Linked DNA regions of Schizosaccharomyces pombe. The gene in region 2 interacts genetically with the main gene of each other region. Each region holds a gene or a part of one and is shown on either strand. Other genes may lie near its edges.

The links.
Region 1: mutations in apt1 (region 2) and erg31 together harm fitness more than expected from each alone (negative genetic interaction), as found in Schizosaccharomyces pombe (one large-scale study listed by BioGRID).
Region 3: mutations in apt1 (region 2) and ppk14 together harm fitness more than expected from each alone (negative genetic interaction), as found in Schizosaccharomyces pombe (one large-scale study listed by BioGRID).

What each region holds. Positions count from the first base shown.
Region 1 is NC_003424.3:931,925-935,656, forward strand, and holds erg31 (C-5 sterol desaturase Erg31), read right to left. Parts: upstream 2,045-3,732; 5' UTR 2,031-2,044; coding exon 1,128-2,030; 3' UTR 501-1,127; downstream 1-500. Other genes in the region: SPOM_SPAC1687.17C (Der1 family protein), read right to left, coding at 3,325-3,732. UniProt on the Schizosaccharomyces pombe protein: C-5 sterol desaturase; part of the third module of ergosterol biosynthesis pathway that includes by the late steps of the pathway. Erg31 and erg32 catalyze the introduction of a C-5 double bond in the B ring to produce 5-dehydroepisterol.
Region 2 is NC_003424.3:4,079,788-4,087,757, reverse strand, and holds apt1 (adenine phosphoribosyltransferase), read right to left. Parts: upstream 4,103-7,970; 5' UTR 4,073-4,102; coding exon 3,989-4,072; intron 3,949-3,988; exon of another isoform or gene 3,811-3,948; coding exon 3,328-3,810; 3' UTR 3,162-3,327; downstream 1-3,161. Other genes in the region: alpha mannosidase Mnl1, read left to right, coding at 318-424, 482-2,738; ted1 (phosphoprotein phosphatase), read left to right, coding at 4,983-6,275; protein adg2, read left to right, coding at 6,808-7,970.
Region 3 is NC_003424.3:768,747-773,166, reverse strand, and holds ppk14 (serine/threonine protein kinase Ppk14), read right to left. Parts: upstream 2,628-4,420; 5' UTR 2,545-2,627; coding exon 844-2,544; 3' UTR 501-843; downstream 1-500. Other genes in the region: tRNA 4-demethylwyosine alpha-amino-alpha-carboxypropyltransferase Trm12, read left to right, coding at 1-494; SPOM_SPAC4G8.04 (GTPase-activating protein), read right to left, coding at 3,077-3,355, 3,419-4,420.

The sequences.
Region 1 (3,732 bases), 3.1 Mb from region 2:
GGAGTCATAAGTAGACCATCTTAGTTTGCTGAAAGTTTTTCAGCGACTTTAAAACTTTAATTGGATGAGAAATGTAATCGGTAATTCTTTCATTCTGGAAAGTATACTGCAGAATCTCATATATACATATATATCATAATTCTTATACTAGTAAAATGTTTGTGATTGATTCAATTAATATTTTATGGTTAGGTTTCAAAAGAATGTTTTGTTTTTATTATTGTTTAATTCATTTTTTTGTCCTCATTAAAAATTCTTTTGGTAGAGTCATTACTAAGTTTTTGCTTCGTAGACTACATGAAAGAAGCTGGTGAGGCGAAGTAATATTATGATTCAATACTACCTAAGATATAGCAAACATCAAAAGGGTACAAAATTCTAGGAAATCATCTGGCAACGTTAGATATCAATATGTAAATAGAAATAGAAAAACATGTAAATCTAATTACATACTAAGTCAATAAATGGAAAGGAGTCTGGTAATTTTTGATTAATTAGCAGTGGTTTACAAACGAATAGTTACTAGTTATTGCAAATCAAAATTAGTGTCGATGACATGTGTAAGCTTGACATTCATTTTATTTCAAAATAGAAAAGTAAAGATAAGAGCAAAATTTTCATTTCGTATACGAAACTAGCAAACAACTACAACGACGTGAACAGCAAAAACGAGTGTATTTGAAGTAAATTATTTGTGAGATGATAGTACCAATCAACCCAACTGAACAAACAACGTTTCAAAAGGGAGGTGGTAAGAAATTGCAAAGCAAAAAAAACAAGTCATTTGAAAAGAAAGGAGTGAATGACTAGATGCGAGACTTCCAAATTTTCTGGATTTATCGTTCTAAAAGAATAAACCGAAAAAAAACAAACTTGGGAATGCTAAAGAGACTCGAAATGTAAATTAGCAAAAAGTTTGCAAAGGATATATAAAATCGCTCACATTGTTCCTTTATAGCAACTGAAGGTAGAGCGGGTAAATAATGCATGTAATACCAACCATAGAAATAGAAATACGTGACCAAAAGAGTAAAACCAACGGGGAAAAATGAAATGGGAATGATGAAAACGAAAAAAAAAAGTAAAATCTTTTCAGAGACAAACTCTTCTGAGTCTAGATATGTTGTTTAATGGTTCTTCTTAGCAGAGTTAGCGATGTATTCTCTATCATCATCACCTTCAACTTCATTACGAATAGCCTCGTACTCCATCAATTCGACACGAAGAACATCCTCGTTTTGGCGAAGATCTTTGTCAAACCATGCCTCATCGGGGGCCCGGAAAGAGTTGCCGAGGCGATCAAAGAGGGTGGTGAATTGGCCGTAATTGTAGTTGAAATAAATGTGATGGCCATTATGGTGAGCAGCACCATTGATGATGGGGTTGTTGGAGATGTATTTACCATCGTGAATCATGATGGACCAGAAGTTGACAAAGGTGAAAAGAGCCAAGTAGGTCAACTTGTGAAGGGGAAAGAAAAAGGGGAAAAGATGGTAAGGAAGAGATTGTAAGAAGCCATCAGCGGATTTGAAAGCATGGGATGCATATGGAGTGCAGATAATCCACTTATGATGGAGTTTGTGAAGACGAGGGTATACATAACGGTGATGAAGGAAACGATGAGCCCAGTAAATGCCAAAATCTGAGAACATGACAAAAAGAGGTAAGGAACATAAGAAGTATTTTAAACCGTAATCACTGATGTTGTCGTATAAGTAGCTGTACCCATGCAACTCAGCCAAAAACCACGGAACCGTCAATAACGCCATACCAGGTAAGTTTTGTAAAGCCGTTAGAACTTCCATGAACACCTGGTTTTTTAAGAACTTTGGGTGATCCATCAGACTTTTATCAAACACAAATTGGTAGGAAAGCGACGCAAATGTTAAATACAAGAACATACCGCCAAACCAAGTTAAAAAAAACAAACTGATCGACTGTCTAACGATATTGTCGCGAGCTAATGGATATACAGCATTGTATATCGAATCCAGCGCATATTGGTCAGCATAGTTGAGTAGGTAGTCCATTGAGGTGTTTGCTTAAAATCTATTGACCGGTGGTAGCGTATAAGAAGTACCAAAAAATGGTCTGATTTTGATTGCGATATCTAGTTGGCTGCTATTAATTAGTCAATAGGAAACCGAGTTATCTTTTTCGTTAAAGTTTTTATCAAAAAACAAAGAGGTGGCTTATACACTTCGGTTAGTGAGAGGTAGATAGGGCAGATCGGAAAGGACATCACTGTGGCGGGAAGAATCTCTTACACTTACTATGTGGGGGAATAGTACTACGGGGGCTCGCTATTCAACAAGTACAACGAGGTTGGACATGAATGTTTGATATCGAGCAAGTGGGTATATATTAGTCGAAAATAATCAACTTTACGATACAAGATCTAATCTTAAAACTATTATAAGTAAATGAGATGAAAAATTAAATAAGAAAGATAAAAAATTGAAAAAAGAAGGTTAACATTCCTCCATCTCGGGTTTGTTCTCAAAGGCTTAGAGGTTACGCTAGATTGCTATTCTTAGACTTGGACTAATTTGGTACCCCCATTTTGTTCTTTTTAATCCACTTGCATTTGTAAGTCTAGGAACGATAATGGTATTTCTCAAGAGTATGCAATATGTTGCTGATGTTTTAAGACGATAAATACGCAGTTAGAACATAGTCGTTTAAAAAAAAAAAAAAATAAATAAAGTAAAATAATAAAATTATTTAAAAACAAAAATTTTGGACAAGCCAGAACTCGAATCTGGGACCTCTTCCATGCTAAGGAAGCGTGATAACCATCTACACCACATGCCCATGTTGAAATACTCGCATATAATATAGTATATAATTTACATACTTTACATTTTCATTATATCTTAAATACAACACTTTTAAAATGGAAATAGCGATTATTCAGAAATCATAATGTTGCTCGCGCATAAAGTAAACATACAAATAGTAGCTTGTAGCCCAATTTTTTTTTTAAAAAAAAAAAAAAAAAAAAAAAAAAAAAAACTAATGAGATAAAACATTTATTACTTAGTTTTAAGAAATAACAAGAAAAGCTCGAATGGCTTGGCAAACCAGGAAACGCCTGCGAATTCCTGAAATTTTCGTAATATTATTCGTGCCCTTGATTAGGGAAATCATTCATCTAACATTTTAGATAAACAAAAGACAGTGACTATTCGCCATCCCTAGTCTTTCACAAGCTCAATAGAAATCGACTTGTAAAGATAGAAAAGGAATCAATAGGCAGCAGTCAATCAGAAAACAAGTGTGGTATTTATTTACTTTTTTTTCTTTTCTTATTCTCTTCAGGCGTCATACTGTAGAAAAATCTGTAACGAAGAAGTATACATGTCCAATCAAAGCACTAATTAAATCAAGCAGTGGAAAGATCCCAGTTCGTAACCAGCGCAATAATACCATTACCCATGGAACATAAGGTGCTTTTACGTCGAAAAGACCTAGTATCGAGATTCTGTACAGTGGATGTTTCCACGACCATATGTATAACATGGTAAATGAAAAGTAAGAAGCTGCAAATGGCATGTAGGAAAAATAGGAGGTAACTAAAAGAGAAAACCATACTATCAATACCGTTTTTAAGAAGCTCTGTGTTTGAGGCGGCGGACTAGATCTTTCTAACATACTCATGAAACGAAGTAGAAACGACAAATATAAAATCAACTCTAATCCAAAAGGCCCAACATAAAGGAATGTAGTTAT
Region 2 (7,970 bases):
AAAGTTGCCTTTAACCGTCCTTTATCATCTCGAAGTTATTCATTCGACAAGCTAGTAGATGACATCCGCTACTAAAGTAGCACATGGCCAAACCAAAGTTGCTTTTAAAATATATGTCACACTAAAATCGAAATTTTTTACATGGAAGTTTTTAAAAAATAGAGAGAAAAGTAAGGTCTATAGCACAAAGATTTGCTTTGCATTTTCAAGACTTCTTTGGACAGGGGATACTATTAAGGAGGATACATATTAAAAAAAAGCTAAAACTGCTTTCTTGTTTGTAAAATACGGTATAAAATCATAAACCCATATATTAAATGGGTAGCTTGCACTCGATTTTCTGTGTTTGTTTGATTTTACTATGCATTTTTAAAGAAAACTCAATCGTTGGGGCCATAAACTCCGCGAGAATGGTAGAGCTAAGGTTTGATACATAATGTTTCTTACTCTACGGAAATTTTAAAAAGCTAACTTTTACTAGGGAAACTTCTCGGAGACTGTTTTATCATGGATATAACAATTACATGCAATTTGCCTTTCCTAACGATGAGCTCGCCCCATTGTCCTGCGAAGGGTTGGGACCGGACTACGAAAATCCTAACAACATTGGTGTCAACGATGTTCGAGGTGATTATTTGTTGACATTGGTCGATGTTTTAGATACCTTGGTGGTTTTGGGAGACCGAGAAGGGTTTCAGGATGCTGTTGACAAAGTCATTCATCATATTAATTTTGAACGAGACACAAAAGTACAAGTTTTCGAAGCAACCATCCGAATTCTTGGAGGACTACTTTCATCTCATATTTTTGCCTCAGAAGAAAAATATGGATTTCAAATCCCATTGTATAAGGGTGAATTATTGACATTGGCTACAGAACTAGCAGAACGTTTACTTCCTGCATTTCGAACACCTACTGGAATTCCTTTTGCAAGAATCAATCTAATGAAGGGTGTCGCGTATCGTGAGGTAACCGAAAACTGTGCTGCTGCGGCCTCCAGCCTGGTATTGGAATTTTCTATGCTTACTGCTTTGACTGGGAATAATAAGTTTAAAGCTTCTGCTGAAAACGCTTTTTTCTCCGTATGGAAGCGAAGGTCAGGTATTGGTCTTTTGGGCAATAGTATCGACGTTTTGAGTGGCAGATGGATTTATCCTGTTTCAGGAGTCGGTGCAGGCATCGATAGCTTTTACGAATATGCTTTTAAATCTTATATCTTTCTTGGAGATCCTCGGTATTTAGAAGTTTGGCAAAAGTCTTTGGAATCATTACGGCATTATACCGCTTCTCTTAACGAATATTACTATCAAAACGTTTATTCAGCTAATGGCATGGTGATGTCGCGCTGGGTTGATTCTTTGAGTGCTTATTTCCCTGGGTTATTGGTATTGGCGGGCGAACTGGAGCTTGCCAAGAAAATGCATTTGTACTATTTTTCTATTTATTTGAAGTTTGGGCAATTACCAGAGCGCTACAACTTGTATACAAAGTCCATCGAACTAAACGGTTATCCTTTACGTCCTGAATTTGCTGAGTCTACATATTATTTATACAGGGCAACTAAAGATGTATTTTATCTTCATGTCGGTGAATTACTGCTAAGTAATATCGAAAACCACCTATGGACTCCTTGTGGATTTGCGGCAGTAGAGAATCTAGAAAAGTATACACTTTCGAATCGAATGGAAAGTTTCTTTTTGAGCGAAACCCTTAAATATTTGTTTCTATTATTTGACGATGATAATCCCATTCACAGAAGTCACCATGATTTTATTTTTACGACAGAAGGTCATTTGTTTCCCGTGACAAATCAAACACGACTGTCTACCTCTCAAAGAATTTACGACGGTGGAGAAGTTTGTGTTGCAGAAGATTACGACAGATCTAAATGGCCAATGTTATATTCGTTGATAGCATCTAGAGACGATTACGATTATGTCTCTCATTTAGTAGGAATTGATAACAAAGCAATACCCTCGTATCTAATTGATCCATCGGGTGTTTGCAAGAGGCCAGAGTATTCCGATGGTTTTGAACTCCTTTATGGAAGTGCACTTGTTAGTCCTATAAAATCAGTGGAACGTGTAACCAATAATGTATACATATCCGACATTATCGGTAATAAACTTAAATTCGTTCAAAAAGAAGGTTCTAATTCTCTGTTTTTATACACTGCTGGAGCTGAATCTATAAATGAGAATGACACGGTCTTCCTAACCGATCCGGATTATGAGACCTTCACAAGACCTGATGCATTGTACTTTGATCGAACTATTGCTCAGCTAGAAAATCCGAACAGTGGTCAAAAAACGTTTGGAAAATTCCTTCAATTTGACAACGATAATTCTTTACCTTCAAAGGTTTTTAAGACAGTCTTGTTAAATAACAGTATGTGTCAAAAACCCTCCGATACTCTCGACAAAGATACAGCATATATTGCTCCACTTGGCAACTGCTCATGGGTGCAGCAAGCAAAAAATACCAATAAGGCAGGATTGTTAATTCTCATCACGGATGGTGAATTTATTAATCCGTTAGAAAATATTCATTCTCAAAACAGTCTATTCAATTGGGTTAAACCATACATCCCTCCGACTATTCTCTTAAAAAATGAAAACAATTTTGTTTCTAAATGGGCCAACGTCTCTGTGCGTCAATCAGACTTTGACGCCCCTTCGTACTTCCAAGGAACTCCAGTTTCAAACCTATATTTGTGTCTGAAATGCATAAACAGCTAGGAATAACGCTGTTTTGTGATTTTTTATTTACGCATGTGTATAGACTTGCGGTCATATATGCTTTTTACTATTTAAAAAATATTTGTGCTGCGTGATTTCAAAGCCTATAGATGTTTATCCATTCAATACTTAATAAAAGTATATTTGGATAATTCAGCTTTCTCTTGTAATTATACTTTTAATCGAGGGCTATATTATAACGTGGATTCGTCAATAGGCTTATAATAAGCTGAATGTATCTACCTATTTATATTAAAGAAAAGCGTGGTATTGACCATTCTAAAAATTATACCCTTTATGACCCTTATAAGCTTTTCTCCTTATGATGTTGCATCCTTTTTTCTTTTTTTTCATTTTAAGATATCGATTTCCACCCGATTTATATATATTTGCTAACAAAAATCCTACTTTTTAGAATACTAGTTGAAAAATGTATAACTTATTCAATTTACAACTTAGACTAAAAAAATCCTAGCTTGACGAATAAACCATAGAAAAAAACCCAGAACCCTAAACATTTATAAAAAAGGAATAAAGCAAATATAACGTTAAAAATTAGAAATGCTTATACATACTTCGAGTTCATAGTTTAAGCAAATTCACTACCATCAGGTGCTTCATCCTGTCCAGTAAGAAGTGTATAAGTAGGAGCCATAAGACGCTTACGTCCTTGAAGAAATGTAAGTTCTAAAAGGAAGAGATGTCCAACTAATTCACCACCCAAACGAGTAACGAGTTCATCAGCAGCCAAGGCGGTGCCACCAGTAGCAAGAATGTCGTCAACTATTAAGACTCTTTGACCGGGTTTAATAGTACCCTTTTGGATTGCAAAAGAATCAGTAGAATATTCCTTATTGTAGCTTACGACGACCAAATCACCGGGAAGCTTGTTGGGCTTACGGACAGGGACAAATGCACAATTTGCACGTAAAGCCAACGTAGGTCCAAAAAGAAATCCACGCGCCTCCAAACCAACAATCACATCAATGTTATTGAATTCAGTTTCAACGGCTTCAAGCAAAAGATCGATAAGGATGCCAAAGGCTCTGGGATCTTGAAAAATGGGCATTATCTAATAACATTAGCATCTTATTGTTTATAATTTAACAGAGTATTTAAGCAATTGCAAGGCGTAAAGATAATATAACCTCTCGAATTGTATTTTGGATTCAAACTTCACGCTAATTGAGCAAAATAATATCACCGTTCCTATCCAACCTCGCGCATTTCCTCCTTCTATAAAATCTTACATCTTCAAACAAGATTCCCTTTTTGGGAAAATCTGGATATTGAACAAGTTTATTCTTAAGGTAATTGATTCTATCGTCGGACATTTTAGTAAATTGCTATGTAAAAACTTCTACAAAAAAAAATAAATACTCAATTTCCGTTACCGTCTATGCAGCGAAAATTTTGGACTGCTGTTTTCAAGTAACATGTTACCATCCGTTTAATGTAAAAAACGTCAGTCATAATTCACCTATTAATACTAAGTAGTGTACCGGGTTAACTTTGGCAGCTAAGACGAGCTCTAAAAGAAACGTTTATGTTTGAAATTCGACGCTCTTTTCCATTCCTTTCTTCGTGAAAACTGTCAGCCACAACTCCATGTTTTGAGGTATTCCTTCTTTAGTTTGATATACACTTCAAGCAATTTCAGTCATATCCGTTGTTCATCATTAAACAAACTTCGGTCAAGATTATTAGCCGTTTTTTGCTATTACATTCAGTAGAAAGCTTATTTTTTAATTTGTTTAAGCCAGTTATACTGATACACTTGGTATTAATTCAATTCAGAAAAAAATTTCAACGGCAAACATCGATACACATTTTTCTAAGAACCAAGCTTCTTTTTCAGGAATTTTGAATCAATCATTTGACCATTGATTTGCAATCTAAATTTTAGCAGTGGGTTTGTTCGAATACTGCAGCTATACCTATAAATTACCCATTTACTAGCTTCATGGATTAGAAAAATAAGTTTTGTTGTTTCATTTGTGCTTTTTGTTTTTCTATTCTGTTCTGCTCATTTCTTGTTATTTGAAAGCAAATCTTTCTAAAAAGCTTTATTGACACTTTTATGGTGGTATACCATTTATATAATCTAGTAAGTAAAGCAAAAACCAAAATCTTACGCCTCTACATTACTCGTTTAGTCTGCTCCTAAGTAAAAATAGGCACTCCAAAAATCGCTCCTTCTCTCCGTTCCCTTTTTTAATTTACGTTGACATAATTAAGTCAATAATGTTTGCAAGACATCCGAATTTATTATGGTTGAACAAACAACTGTCTATTTTACATTATCTTTGCCTAGTTTTTTTAGCTGTCTACTATGCCTATCCTCTACTATTTGGCATAATGCCAAGAAAGCTGCAACTCGAAGATGAAAATTCTTTTGTTATTATGGGGGTTGCTGATCCTCAGATTGAAGGGAATCATAAAATCGAAGCAAATGGATTTTTTAAAGGCACTTTAGATCTTTGGGGGAATGATTTGTTTTTACGACACCTTGTACATATGAATCAGTTTTGGGGTCAACCAGATGCGATGATTCTGTTGGGTGACTTGGTCAGTTTTCAGCACTTGGATAACGAAGAATTCAACAAAAGAGCTAAAAGACTGAAAAAAATCACTGGGGCAAAAAACTTTTGGCAAGTAGGAAACTCCAGTTTACCAGCACGTACTTTTGAAAACGGTAACATTCCCGTTTGGACGATTGCGGGTAATCATGACATTGGCTATGGCTGCGAAAGTTCAGACGCACAAATTAGCAAATGGGAACAAGCTATGGGCCCGGTAAATTGGGTTTCGCACTTCAATGTTTCTAAATTTCCTGTCCGTGTGATCGGCATAAATAGCCTTTCGCTTGATGATGTTCAGTTTTACGATGCGAACCCTAGCGATATTATTAACAGTAAAAGTTTTTCATCATTAGGTATACTTGCTCTTTCAAAAGAAGCTAGGGATGCTTGGCAATTTCTTTTCGACATTGCTTTAGAGCCGTCTATTCCAACCATACTGTTCACCCATGTGCCACTCTACAAACCAGCTAATGTGTGTGTTGACGAACCGAGAATCGTTCGTCAATTGGATTTTCGGGTCAAGTCTCAAAATCATTTATCGTATAATACTACTATGAAAATTTTTGAATTGATTCCTAGCATCAAATTGGTCCTTTCTGGCCATGATCATATGGGTTGTGACTACGAACACCCGAACGGTGCCATCGAACATACATTACCCAGCGCAATGGGGTACTTTGGAGGAAATATTGGTTTTGTCAAACTGATCGCGACAAATGATGTTCTTACAGAGTCCTCCAAGAACACACCCTCGGTTGTTACATTTCTGATTCAAAAACTCATTGGCCAACGATGGAAGAAGGCTTCATTGAAACAGTCAAAATTCAGTTCCGACATATATGCCACTTATACCTTGAGTCACGGAGGACCATCTTATATTTGGTGGGCTCTTCACATATCGGTATGCGTACTTACCATCTTACGTTTATTGGTAATATCATTGCAACATATCTAACATTGTTGTGCACTAATTGTTCAAATGAACAGTTTTATATTTACACCAGCCTCTTAAACAGGCAATATATCCAGCCTTTAGGTGAATTTGAGAGAAACCAACCTTTTTTACCAGCCATTCTGCTGGTTTTTAACCAAGAACCTGCAGATTCATTGAATTAACGTGGTGCCTTAATTACATTTAACGTCATTTTTGTACTTTCTTGCAGTAGTGCTGGATGTTTATTTACACAAAGTCGACCAATGTTACCATAGTAACGCGACCCAAGAATGCGTTATCTAATTTAGGTGCAAATATAAATGTCTCTCTGGAATCCACAATTTTTCGATTGTTTTTGTTTACATCGATACAGTTTCCAGCATTGCCCCACTTTTGAGCATTAATACACTTAGGTCATATCAGAAACCCAAGTGCTATATTAAGTCGCCTTTCTCGCTTACTTTCTTTCCTTAACCATCTACTTTTAGTTGGGTATTCGTCTTGCTGAAGGCCTGTGCACTGCCAATTGCCGAACTAGGGATTTATTTGAGAAATGAGAAGATTAACCATCAGCGGGCTATTAATTAGCTTAGCCAAGCTTTGTGCTGGCATGGAAATTAATGTTCCTTCTTCTTCAGACGTTTGGACTAGTGGACATATTGAACCCTTGGAATGGAGTGTGGTCAGCACTGATCCCCTGCAGGCTAATGTCTGGTTAATAAACGAAGTTGAGTATCCACCAACAAGCCGTTACATAATGACCATCAATACTTTTGATGAAAATGCCACATTTCCTGCTTTAGATCTTTCGCCAGGTTATGGCTACCAAATTAGTTTTACGTCTATTCGCGACGACTCTGTTATTTACGCCCAATCTGGTACTTTTTATATTGTTGGCGGCGAAGGTATCTCTTCTACTACTGGTAGTACTTTTCAAAGCATGACTACCTTCACTAGTTCACAAACCAACAGTGGTCATGCTTCTGCTAGCACTTCTATTCCAAGCACTGCTATAACTGTGACAGCGAATTCTACCATTTATTCATCTGCTACTTCTAGTTTTCCATACTCTACAGACGTTAGTGTCTCGACAGGCACATCGACCGACATTGTAACCTTACCTCCGCCAGCGTCGAGCACTTCTTCGTTTAGCACCATTACAAACACGTCTATGATTCCCAGCTCTTCATCGTTTACTACTACTACAGGCTCTCCTTATTATAACACATCTAGTTTCTTACCTTCCAGTGTTATATCGTCTGCCAGCCTGTCTTCATCATCTGTTTTGCCAACGTCTATTATTACATCGACTTCCACACCCGTTACAGTCTCTTCTTCTAGTCTCAGTAGCTTCACTCCTTCCTATAGTACTAACCTTACTACTACTGGAAGTACCACTACCACTGGTTCGGCAACTGTTTCCTCATCACCATTCTATTCCAACAGTAGTGTCATCCCTACCAGTGTACCATCAAGTGTTTCTTCTTTCACCTCCAGCAGCAGCTCATACACTACTACGCTGACTGCTTCAAACACTTCTGTCACATACACTGGTACTGGTACTGGTTCGGCAACGTTTACCAGCTCCCCACCATTCTATTCTAACAGTAGTGTCATCCCTACCAGTGTACCATCAAGCGTTTCTTCTTTCACGTCTAGCAATAGCTCATACACTACTACGCTGACTGCTTCAAACACTTCTATCACATACACTGG
Region 3 (4,420 bases), 3.3 Mb from region 2:
GTATAGGGTACTTTACATTTTCTTACGTTAAAGCGGGAGCTTCAACAGTTTTTTGCTGGGAAATTAATCCATGGAGTGTTGAAGCGTTAAGGAGAGCTGCTTTGAAAAATGGCTGGTCTATTTATGTAGTTCGAAATGGAGAAAACTATGAATTTAAAGTAGGAACTCATCGTATTGTAGTTTTTTTGGAAAGCAACGTTTATGCAGCTGAAAGGTTCTCCAAAATGAATATTTCTGCTCGACATATAAATTTGGGAATGCTCCCCTCTAGTGAAAAATCCTGGTCAACCGCTACTTCAATTTTAAAGCGAGAATCACATTCCTTTATACATGTTCATGAGAACGTAAAAGATGAAGATATCGAAACATACTCTTCTGAAGTGAATTCATGTTTTTCAAAAATGTTGGCTAAAAATACAGTTTGTGTTACAAATTGTGTCAAATCATTTTCACCACGAGTGTCACATATCGTTTACGATATAGAGACGGTTTAGTTAATGGTAATTTTGTTAAGGTGGTTTTTGGTTATTTTACAAAATATGTTATTAGAATGGTATATGTTATATTCTGTCTAGAAGTTTATTTAACTTCCTATTGAAAATAGAGAAAGCATGTCTGAATCTGGTAAAAGTAAGGTAGAAAAAAGAAAGACTTTGTGGTGAAAAGGAGAATCTAGTTAAGCGAAATATTTTGTGCCTCAACAACGTATCAATATATGCAATGAATGAAGTCAGCAAATGCTCTTTTAATAATGGATTGATTAAACAAAAAGATGAGAAAAATATCATAGACGTGCGAAAAATTACCATCAATATGCAAGTTACAGGAAGAAAAGAAAATGACCTAATCCCACTCATGATGCACAGTAACTGAATTAAACGATTCGAAGGGATCATCTCCATGATCTGCACCCGATAAATTAGATAGGGGAACTTCAACTGTTTGTGTGTTTTGGGGAGAATGAGTAATATCCAAACTTTTACTTTCCTTTAGATGGGAAATATTAGGATTGCCTTTTTCATCAATAGGGGCAAGCTTTGGAATAATCGGAGGCTCAGTGTGCCTTAATAGAGCCCATTGGACATTTTTAAAAAAAGGATGAAGCTTCACGTCTGCAGCACCAGCCTGTGACCCAAGGCGATCATTTTCATCTTTCACTAATAATTTTCTAATCAAATTCTTGCAAAGGCTGGAAATTGAAGGAGCATCCGCATATTCAGGGAATATAACATCCTTGTGTAAAATATTCGAAAAAGTCATGTTTCTATTTTTACCTTTGAAAGGAGTCGTGGCATATAGCATTTCATAAAATAAAATACCCAAAGTCCACCAGTCAACAGCGCTTGTATGACCACAACCCTTGATAACTTCTGGAGCAATATACTCTTCTGTGCCGACAAATGAATTTGTGCGAAAATCTGCGATACATGATTTTGTATCCAATGCGTAAGCATTTTGAGCGGATGGTGCATTCCTGGCCTGAATTACCGTTGGTGCACCGGCAGAGTTTGATTGTTTAGATAAATCAAAATCAGAAAGCATAATATGTCCTGACTCATGCAACAAAATATTTTCAGGCTTCAAATCTCTATAAATAAATCCCATCAAGTGGAGGTATTCTAATGCAGCGGTAACTTCTGCAATGTAAAATTTGGCCTCGTTTTCTGATAAACAACGGCCAGGACGTCGTTGCAAAGCTCGAAAAAACTCACCTCCCATACAATACTCCATACATAAATAAAGGTATTCATCAGATTGAAAAGAATGATAAAGTGTAACAATGAATGGGTGGTTACTTGTCGCAAGAATGTGCTGTTCTGCAAAAGCTCGTTTGCTTTTGTTGCGTTTAATCATTTCTTGCTTACTCAAAACTTTCATGGCATAAAATTTGCCAGACTTTTTTTCTCTAACAAGATAAACTCGACCGACATCTCCCTTGCCAAGTAGAAAAACCTTTTCAAAGCTAGATGGACCAACCTCAACATCACATATCTTGATAGAGTTGGAAGAATATGTTCTCGCTCTCGTTGCAACAGTTTTCTTAATATGAGCCAATTCTTTTTCCTTCCCATGAGGACTGAAAATATCTTTTAACTTTTCTCGCTGAACTGAGGTATCAGCACCATTACTACGAGAAACATTTCGCGACTTGGGAACATCTTTCTTCTTCCTCCCACTTTTAAAAAACGATTTTTTTATTACGGAAATTGAATCAGTACCACTCCCGTCACCACCTTCTGCGGAACTACCAGTGCCATCAATTTTGCGATCAGACTCTTCCTCGGTCTGCGACTCAGGTGCACCAGAAGGTGATTGATTTGCAGCATCGCTATCTTCCGACGTCAATTCTTTTTCCTTCTTTCGAGAAAAAGCAAACTTTCTGCTATCCTTAAAATGCAGCCTTATGAAGGCTCGAAACTTGGATGGCTTGGCAGTGCCGGAATGTTTCCAGTGTCCTGTGTCATCTTTCTTAGCTTCTTCTAGGTGATCTTCAACATTGATCCTTCCTTCCTCAGAGCTCTCACCATCATGAAGTTCATTCATTTGCTTTTGAAAGTGCTACGAGTCGGTCGCAATACAATTCAATTCCACTGATATTTTTGTGTATGGCGGAAAGTACACCGGATGACATTACTGAGACACTGACACTTATGATATACTAGAAATATAACCGACTGCGTTATCGATCGTTGTACCTCACAAACCGTAAGAGCAATGTTTATATAGCATACAGGAAAATATATGAAGAGCAAGAATCTGTCTATGTTTATTAAACCAAACAAATCAAAAACTATAAGTGAAAGTTATGCATGGATTGCCTAGCTTCATACAAGAGTTTTCAAAAAAGATTTTACATTCTATACTTCCAAATTATAATGAAATGGACTCCTGAAACAGCATTAAAATAACCCAGTCATAGTATACAGTGATGGAAAACATTAAAAAATTATATTCATGAGTAACCCAACATAAAAATGAATAAGATGCCCATGAGGCAACAAAAAGCTTTTTTATTTATTAAAGATCATAACTTACCAACGATCACGAATCAAACCAGTAAAACAAAACAAAGAACTCAATAATTGACCGCTAAGTTTAACGAAGAAATAGCCAAGTTACGTTTCCGTTCAATACTCTTTTCCGTAACAAGTTTGGACCACCGATCAGCAGCCTCTTTAATAAACGAATCGGGTTGAAAAGAGTATTGAACCAAATCACTCAAAAATGAGTAGATGGCAGAAGAGGAATTGCATGCTAAAATTTGTTGCTTTAAAGATTTTAGAATCGTAAGTGCAACTCTAAATAAGCATACATAACCATCACAAAACAACATGTCAAATATTCTAAAAGATATCTAAAAAAAAGTAGTTAGTAAACAATTCATACTTTAATAATCTTTCAAAACCACTTATCGTACATTCGTAGGGAGTGTATCAGTATATACACTTAAAAACCAATGAAATGAAATGGCGTCCAAATCAACCCCAAGTAATTCTAAATGGGAATAGATTTCCGGTAATGACTCTTTCACAAAGCTTTTCAAAACCAGCTGATCAGCTCGCGAAGTCATCAGGTCAGGAGTAAAGTATTTCGGAGGTAAAACGTTTTCAATTATGCTCATTAGCATATAAAACGCGTCTTCTTCTGAAGCATATAATAAAAGAAGAAAGGCACCAATAACATTCATTCCTTGACAATAGCCTATGTGTGGATTGTGGCGGCTATAAGCAACTAAAATTCGTCGTAATTTCGGGATTCCAGGTCCTTTTCCTCCAAAAAATACATTTTTAGCCATAGTCCTGTTAATATCCATATCGATTTGCGCAACACTCGCTGATTCAACCTCATCAGTACGTGATAATAGTTCTTCATAATAGCCAGGTGAATGTAATTGATAAGCGCCTGAGCACTCTAACCAAACTTTAGCTTTATAGCACAAAGGAACACCATTTTTCACAAGTTCACGAAATTTATGCCATCTTTTTTTACCATGACGCCCTTTAACACCTATGCTAGATATTCCTAGTAAACCAATTGTATCCTCATCGGTAATTTTATATTTTTTGTACAAGCGTTGAAAAAACAAGCTCCAGTTTTTTTGTCGGGTACTTTCTTTCATATCCAATAAAATATCTTTTTTATTTAGCAACAATGGAGAATCGTTGAGCCCATCTAACTCGTTGCCAAAAAAATCATCAACCAAGCCATAATTGCTTTCATAGAACGACAGAGTCTGTTTCTGATTTAATTTTATGTCCTCCGGACATAAAGGGGTGTCGTGACTTGGTCGTTTTTGTAAAAAACCAAATTGATCGAGAATTTCCTTGGAATTATTATCTAAATAATCTTTCCAATCATTTCGCATTGAGGGCGGCTGGGTTTCCTTAGGAATCATATTTCCCAACTCCACAGAACCAAT